Lytechinus pictus: one gene and its partner. The protein of the gene in region 1 purifies or fractionates together with the protein of each later gene. This does not show direct contact. Links are inferred from orthologs where the notes say so. Each region holds a gene or a part of one and is shown on either strand. Other genes may lie near its edges.

Region 1 (4,087 bases):
CTCTGAACATGTGGAATTAGCATTGTTTAATACTATATGGTTCAGTCAAATTGGTCCATACTGTCAAATCTGTAAAAATCAAAATATTGTATAATTCAAACAATAAAAAACAAAGGAAAAAGTGAGTGATGGACATCATCGACTGACAGGGGCGTCGATCCATTTTTCAGATTGGGGGGGCAAAATCATTAACGGCACTCGATCGTACAAAACACCCACCCACCCACCCACACACACACACACACACACACATACACACACACACACACATATATATATATAGAGAGAGAGAGAGAGAGAGAGAGGGAGAGAGAGAGAGACACACACACACACACAGACACGTATCTCACCAACAAATTAATGCGAGCGCGAAGCGCGAGCTGATTTTTTTAGTATACTGACAGGAAAAGCGTGCCTGTTTAGGACTGTTTGTAGTAACTCATGAGGAGGATACATATCTCACTACACAGATAGTACAAGTGCCGAGAGTGAGCTCAAATTTCTTTATATTCTGAGCTGAAAACTTGATATTCTAAGCATTTTTGGTACCAATGATTAAGATTTGTATCTAAAAGAAGAATAGATGCGAGCGCGAAGCGCGAGCTGAAAATTTTGATATTTCGGTCTGAAAAAATGACAGTTTACTGGACGTTTTTGATAAAGAACAAGCTATATATCCAAGAAAAGATGATTGCAAATTGAAGCAGTTCTTTTTAGGCTTAGAACTGAAAACTGGACATTTACATTCACCAATTTAATCATGAAAAGTATGGGTTTTTGCTAAAGAAATGATGCGAGCGCGAGCTGAAAATTTTTATATTCCAATCTGAAAACGGACATTTTGAGCACAATAAAAATTTTAAATAAAGAACGAGTTGTGTATCTCAATCTCGCTTGCTGAACATTACAATCTGTTTTTTTTATGCATATCCGGAATTATTGGGGGGGGGGGGGGCAAAATGATATGTTTGCCCCCCCAATATTTTCATTGGTGGGGCGATCGCCCCCCCTGCCCCCCCAGGATCGACGCCTCTGTCGACTGACTCATAATGCATGTCACTGAGTTGCGCATATCACTATTTTGTGAAAAATAAGCGAAACTTTAAAATGCCATAACTTTCTTATTTTACATCCGATTTTGATGAAATTTTCAGCACAATGCTAGTTTGATTTTTCTCTATTTATTCAAATCAAAATTTTCCTGGGGTGGACTTGACCTTTAATATTTTCTTGGAATTTGGGCAGTGCCCTTGTAAAAATCTGATAAGTTTATTGAGAACTCAGTTTGTGTAAGGACAGGACCGATAGGCCGAGTCGGGTAGAAGTGTATACCGGTAATTTTTTACGAATAAAATTGTTGGTCGAATTGAATTGAATAACCTATGGTATCTTTAACATGATTTTCGTTGGGAGGATCGGATGATCGGAAACGTCAGTGACATATCGACACTGATCAGAGTCAGAGGAGGAGTCAACATTAGGGCCTAGATTTTAGCCTAGCACTAGAACCACTCATCCTACGATCGGTCTGCAAGATGGAGTATATGCCAGGAACAGCTAGTTTGATCGATGAAATTAATAGTAAGACCCAAGAACCGTTTTGTATAGATCTAGGCCTACTGAGTAAATGAATGACAATGAATGTGCAATGTTGTCCCACATGTTGAATTCTATGTCAGGCACTTGCTTTCTGAAACCACGGCACTAGTGATTTAGTCTAGGCTTTTCGAGAATCGAGGTCTCTCTGTTACTATCTCTTTCGCCTCGGTAGCTAACAACTATTTTCAAAGAAATATAGACAATAGATGAGTGTATAATATGTGAAATTTTAATAATTCAGTAACTTTTTCAATTAAATTCAAAATGGTTTATTTAGTCTAAGTTTAGATAAAAACTTCCATCGCAGCACAGAGCCGAATTACAAAAAGTTTTTACAATATAAAGATTGAAATCATAAGGTATAAGCATAATGTGGAATATAACACCAAAAACATAATACAATAAAGCAACAAATATGGTACAAAACATAAAATAAACAAAAACTTATCACAAGACTAAATGCGTTCAATATGACGTTAACGTCAATTACAAGAATCACAGAACTAAAACAAAAAATACAAAGTCAGAGAATCAATGTGAGAAAAAAGATTAGACATGCAATTTATGCAAAAAGTACCAGATCGTGTGCAATTCAGGATTAAATTAAATATATGAATACACAAGAGATGAAGGATAAAGAGAAAAATATAGGCAGAATAACAAAAGTGCGGAGAAAAGGGACAAAAGGATAAAGAAATGAAGCAGCAATTAAAATTGAAGGCGAAAGAAAAAACAAGAACAATATAATCAACGAGATGGAGTAACTGTTCAATAGTGAAAACAACTTAATTGGGGATACAATGTAAATATACAACGAAGCAAAAAAGAAAGAAGGAAAAAAAAAGAGGACGAGAGAACGGTAGCGAGGCTACCAGAGAAAAAAAATCTGTTTTAGTTATAGATAATTAGAATTCAACATAGTAAACTGGGAAGATAAAAAAATGTAAAATTTGTCTGTATTGTACCAGATTGCATCGTAAAAAATAGAGTGCATAGTGTTTGTGTTGAAAAAACAGAGTGGTGAAAAGCAAGAAATGAGGAAAAATGGAGAAAAATACAGAAAAGTAGAGAGAAGGTGATAATGAGAAGGAAAAGGAATAAACAGTCAAAGAGACCAAAGGTGAAAAGGAAGAAGCAAGGGTAAAAGAAAAGGGAAGGAGATAATAGAAAGAATTACAAGAAGAAGAAGGGAAAAAAAGGAGAAGAGGAAAGAAAGGGGAGAAGGAAAAACAGAATGCGGGGAAGGAGAGAGTTAAGTAGAAAAGGAGGGAGCGTAGCTCAGTCGGTTAGAGCGCATGTTTCTGATAAGATCGTAGATCTCAACGTGAGGGGTTCGAGTCCCGCTCATGCCGAAACGCGTCTAACAAACAAAAATCTGATGCTATAGCGTTGTGTGTTAGCGTGCCTCACCACTGTATTCAGTGCAGGTGTAAATGCAGTTGGAAAACACTCCGTCCATCGGAAAGGACGCAAATGTTGGTCCTGTGTATAGGAGAGTCACAACCTATGCACGTTAAAACCAATACACTATTCGTCAAAGAGTAGGGTGTTCACCCGGTGTATTGCACCTGCAGGTCCCGGCAAAATTCAGGTCAAGTCAATCTTGACATTCATATGCCATAATCAATATAATGATTGTGGGCATTAAATAATGGAAAGACAAGACAAGGTAATAAAGAGTCGAAGGGGAAGGTGAGACACAAGACCACAAGCATTAAGGGATTGACAAGTCCAAAGAGCAGGTAGGGAGGAACAGTAGCATACTCACTCATCACTTATTCTGGTTATTGTTCAGTATACGAATGAGATACGGTATTGCACTATTTTGCATTCGTTTGGTTTTACATGTTGGCTCAGGGATTAGGGGTTTACGTCTCAACAATCTTGGATTATCTGGAGGTAAAAACGATTTGAATTGGTCTGTATTGATTAGAGTTTTCTTAAAGAAATTCAAACTCAAATCTTCCCTTCTATCAGAGAGAGATTGGAGTTTCAATTCCACTAAGACAGTATCATAAGTAGAGTAGCATGTGCCCATAACTAACCTCAAAGCCCTTTTCTGAACTCTTTCTAATCTTGTGATCTGTTCTTTGGTGAGTCCCCCATTTCATACAGGAGCTCCATATTCCAGCACTGGCCTAATGTAGCACCTATATATTGTCAACAAATCATCTTGGGGAAGACCATGGCATTTCAATAATCTAAGCATGTGAATTTTGCTGTTTGATCTCTTTATGATATCATTTGTGTTTTGGTCCCATTTTAATGTTTTGGATAATGACTCCCAGAAGTTTGGTTGATTGAACAGTTGCCAGTTCATGGGTACCAATGTAAACTGATGGGTGCACTTGGAAAGACCTTTGAAAGCAAACATTCATTTGCGCACATTTTAGGGGGTTCATTTTCATATGATTGCGTTCACACCAGGTTAGAATATAGTCCATAGCTTTTTGCAATTCAGATAATTGATTACTGTTCCTACAATCTA
Region 2 (4,087 bases), on another chromosome or scaffold:
TGGTGAAAAGGGGTAATTTTTCATGAGGAATCTGCTTATCACATTTTTATTTGCCGCCAAGGTAAATAATCCTTTTGCAGCTAATGTAAACAAAGGAAATTGGTCTCCAAAACTGGAGACTGTCTATGAATTTGGATACCCAAATTCTTTACAAGTCTCTGATATTGGAGACAGTCTCCAATATTGGCCGTGCGCCTCTAACTGTTACTGTTAGTGTTACTGACTTACTCAGTTACTGTATACCGGTATAAAACCCAGTTCAGTTGATTTATTCATTTTTAGGGCCTAATTCACACTATTTGCATCTACTAGAAAAACCTCATTGTATATCTTGTATTTATTTCCCAGACATTACACCTACCAGAACCTAATTTAGATTTGAACAGTTCTGCACCGTTGTTTCTGCATCTCACTGGCAGCACGTCCAAGTGAACGGTGTCGTCCCACGTATAGTGCCGCTTCTCCCCCGATGGCGACGACGGAGTGCAGGGGGTAGCCGGAGTCTTTAAACCGTCAACAAGAGCAGCTGCTGCATCAGCTTGCTGCACCACAGCAATTATTCTTGGTTTCAGAGGGGCACCATCTTGCACTTGAACAGGCAGTCCATTAGCAGTAAATATTCCTGTAGGCGTTGCTGCAAAAACATGTTCGGTAACAGCAGAAGTGCTAATTTGACCAGACGATACTGAAACGGAATCATTCGCGAAGGCAGAATCGTCGGCATTTGGACTCGGTAGACCTTCGGAGATGTCGGCAATTCCGACCGTCACTTCGGTAACTTCTGTATTTTCCATATCTTCACTACTGTCCCCCATTTAAGCCGCTATACTTGACTGTAAACTATAGAACATTAATAATCGGTCCGATCAAAATGAAAATCGCAAATAAAAAGTACAAATTTCGAGAATTAAAATTGTTAAACGGTATGGTCGGGAAATTTCGTAAAACACTCGCAATATGGCTCCCTCGCCCTTTCGTTTTTTCGGAGACTCATTACACATGCGCGATAAAGGTTACATTGGAAACGTCCATATGGATTTAGGGGTAAAATGACAATGTTTATCGCAAGAAGAGTTATTTTGCGAATTTTTGATCAGTTTTTGAAAATATAAATCGATATAAAGAAAAGAAGTACGGTATGCAAAATCGAAAAATATAAATTCGTAGAATCGTAATGAATCAAACATGCATTATTATATTGATCATTAAATCATATTCGCTGCACAAATAAAGAAGTACCCCCTTGCCAAAGTGTGCTAACCTTTGTCGTCTTTATATTTTATTTCAACTGGGATGAAATGGATTTTACCAAAGTCAGGATTTTCAACACTGCAAAAACAAGATGACAGACAATTTATTTGGTTATGCCGGAGATTTACCTGTAAGTTATTTTCTATGCGTGTTTGTGATATGGAATTGATTTTCTTTGGGTATAGATACTGCAAAATTAACAAATTTATCTCAAAACTTAGATATTCAATTAGGTGCTTTGGTCCTACATACGGCTTTTTGTGTAAGTTAAAGGATATTCTTGGCCATTGATTAATTAAGTCTTTTAAGATTTGGAGTGATTGGACGACTCCTTCCTTGCGCTCCTAACTTTAATAAGCAGGGGCCTAACGTTATTATGTTTGATGTATTACTCCTGACTGCAATGTAAGTGCCATAGTTTTGAAAAAGCGGGGATAATTAATGTTTGTAAATCGTGTTGTAGTAAGTCACCCCACCCCCCATATAGGTCTTCCACCGGGAGATGGCGCTGGACCCCTTTTAGACGCTGGAGGACGTTGGATCCCTTGGATCATCGTATTTGAAGCTGAACTCACACGGAATAGACAGGATCTAAGGACATCACTCCAGAAAACTACTGGTAGGTGATTTATTCCTTATATTCTTAGCTTCAGGTATCAACCTAGTGGTCAAGCTGGGGGCGCGACCGCTACAGTGGCGCTGCGAGCCTGACTGTGCCTGCTTTTGTGGGCATTTTAGGCCAAATTATTGAAATTAATTGGGGTATAATTGTCTCGCGGCGAGCTAACGGCCCCCTATTGCGCATCGGACGAGCAAATCCCTATGCCCCGCTGCGTGGGGGGAAATGGTCGCCGCTCGAGTACGAGAAATCAGTTTTAGATTGGGCTAATTACAGTTGATAAGGCTAAATTCAGAGCCTTGTCGTATTGCGTATATTCTATGAATATTGTCCCTTGTTTCATGTTTGCGATTGTCCTGAATTGAGAGGTTAAATCTTGATTTGGGACATATTTAGGCAATCGTCCCCTGTCTTTTTTGGTAAGGTTTTCGTCGCGGGGACTGATGGTAGTTCCGGTCCCGTGACGGAAATTTCCAGAAAAGGGGGGAGAACACACGTGTTGTTGTGTTGTGAGTTTGTTTTAGTTTTGTGCTTTAATATCCGTTTTTAGTTGTGGACTGTGTTTCACGTTGGTGTGATTGTGTGATTTGCTTGTGATTTTGGGTGTTTGGATGATTTTTGTGTCGTTTTGCGAGTGATTTGTGAGTGAACTATTTTTGTTGGGGTGAGAGGTGCGTAAGAGTGTGTGTGTTCCGGCTAGGTAAAAGCGCACGGCCCGATCCAAGATTTCACGGCGATCTATTGGCGGAGAGATATTATTGGTTCTCTCTGCCACCGACCGGTGCCATCTTGTTTTACATCGTCGGCTCAACGTTTGGGTCTAGTTTGAGATCCGAACTGACGTCAGGCCGGACCAATCCATCGCACGTATACGGGTAAACAACGGCGATTATTTGGGCGAGTAGGACGGGAAGCCAGACTGACCAACAAAGGTAGGGCATTATCCCAATCCTCTCTCGCCTGCCTATTTCGGATATTTTGAATTTTGTGTGGTGTTTTAGGGTGTTTTGTCCAAATTTTGGGGGAACGTTTTGTACTCGAAGCTGGGTAGAATTCACGGTAATTATCGAGATCTAACCAGTTAGACCGCCCGATCATTTCCGGGTTTGACGTTAGATCCAGTGCAACTGTGCACGACCATTGGTTGTGTATTGCATACCTAATAGGTTGGTTTTTGGTGCCAGTGTGTAGTGTTGTGTTGCGTGTGGACCCACCCACTCGTTGTAGCGGGGAGTCCGTTGCCAAATAAATAAAAGAAATAAAAAAAAATTTTGGAGAGAGTGTGGGGTGACTGTGTATGTGAATAAGTACATGTAATTTGTCTGTGGTGTGAGCGGGCACTAGTCACTAGCGTGATTGAGGACAGAACCAGCTTCGAGGATTAATAAAATAAATAGCCTAGGTAAATTAATAAAAGACAAGATAGGCTTAACGTTAGAGGTTAATATAAATATTTTTAGAGCTACAATTATTCTTTTTGGCAGTGCTTGTGCAAACTATTAGCAACAACCGGACTAAACTAATCTAATTAATAATAAAAGCTAGAATTTTATACCATAAATTGGGTTTGCATTTGGACCTAATTTTTTGGGATAGCTTTTTTGGATAACTTTAGCAGGTTTTTTGGTCGGGCTAATTACTGTGCCTAACCATTAACTGTTAAAGGTATATTTTTGGACTTATACCGGTTTTATAATTTTAGTTGCTAAAAATAAAAGAATTGTTATAAAATAAATTGGGTCTGCATTTGGACCTAATTTTTTGGGATAGCTTTTTTGGATAACTTTAGCAGGTTTTTGGTCGGGCTAATTATTGTGCCTAACCATTAACTGTGGAAAGGTATATTTTTGGACTTTTACCGGTTTTTATAATTCTAGTCGCTAAAAAATAAAAGAATTTATTGGGGCCACTTTGGGATAAATTTAAGTAGGTTCTTGGTCGGGCTTATTATTGTGCCTAACCATAAATTGATTGGGGTATACTTTTGGACTCTTTTTTTGTAATTTAGTTGCCAAAAGAAAATAAAAGAAAGAATTTAATAAGATAGATTGGGTTAGATTGAGACCTAGTTTTAGAATAGCTTTGGGATAATTTAAACGGGGGTTTGGTTGGGCTCAGTATTGGGCCTAACTGAACCTTGCTAGGATAACACCAATTAGGGTAAACACAACATGGACGGGGAAGAGAAAATCCCTATCAATGTGTGCTCCTTTGAGG

What was found.
Region 2: the proteins of U6 snRNA-associated Sm-like protein LSm1 (region 1) and protein PAT1 homolog 1-like purify together in Homo sapiens (co-immunoprecipitation; 3 studies listed by BioGRID and IntAct, with this or other methods). This does not show direct contact. The link is inferred for Lytechinus pictus from reciprocal best matches to the Homo sapiens genes LSM1 and PATL1.

Annotation. Positions count from the first base shown.
Region 1 is NC_087256.1:4,034,586-4,038,672, reverse strand, and holds the start of U6 snRNA-associated Sm-like protein LSm1, read left to right. Parts: upstream 1-1,265; 5' UTR 1,266-1,535; coding exon 1,536-1,581; intron 1,582-4,087. UniProt on the Homo sapiens protein: Plays a role in the degradation of histone mRNAs, the only eukaryotic mRNAs that are not polyadenylated. Probably also part of an LSm subunits-containing complex involved in the general process of mRNA degradation.
Region 2 is NC_087263.1:11,873,634-11,877,720, reverse strand, and holds the start of protein PAT1 homolog 1-like, read left to right. Parts: upstream 1-1,259; 5' UTR 1,260-1,342; coding exon 1,343-1,381; intron 1,382-1,738; exon of another isoform or gene 1,739-1,870; intron 1,871-4,087. Other genes in the region: deformed epidermal autoregulatory factor 1 homolog, read right to left, coding at 362-815. UniProt on the Homo sapiens protein: RNA-binding protein involved in deadenylation-dependent decapping of mRNAs, leading to the degradation of mRNAs. Acts as a scaffold protein that connects deadenylation and decapping machinery.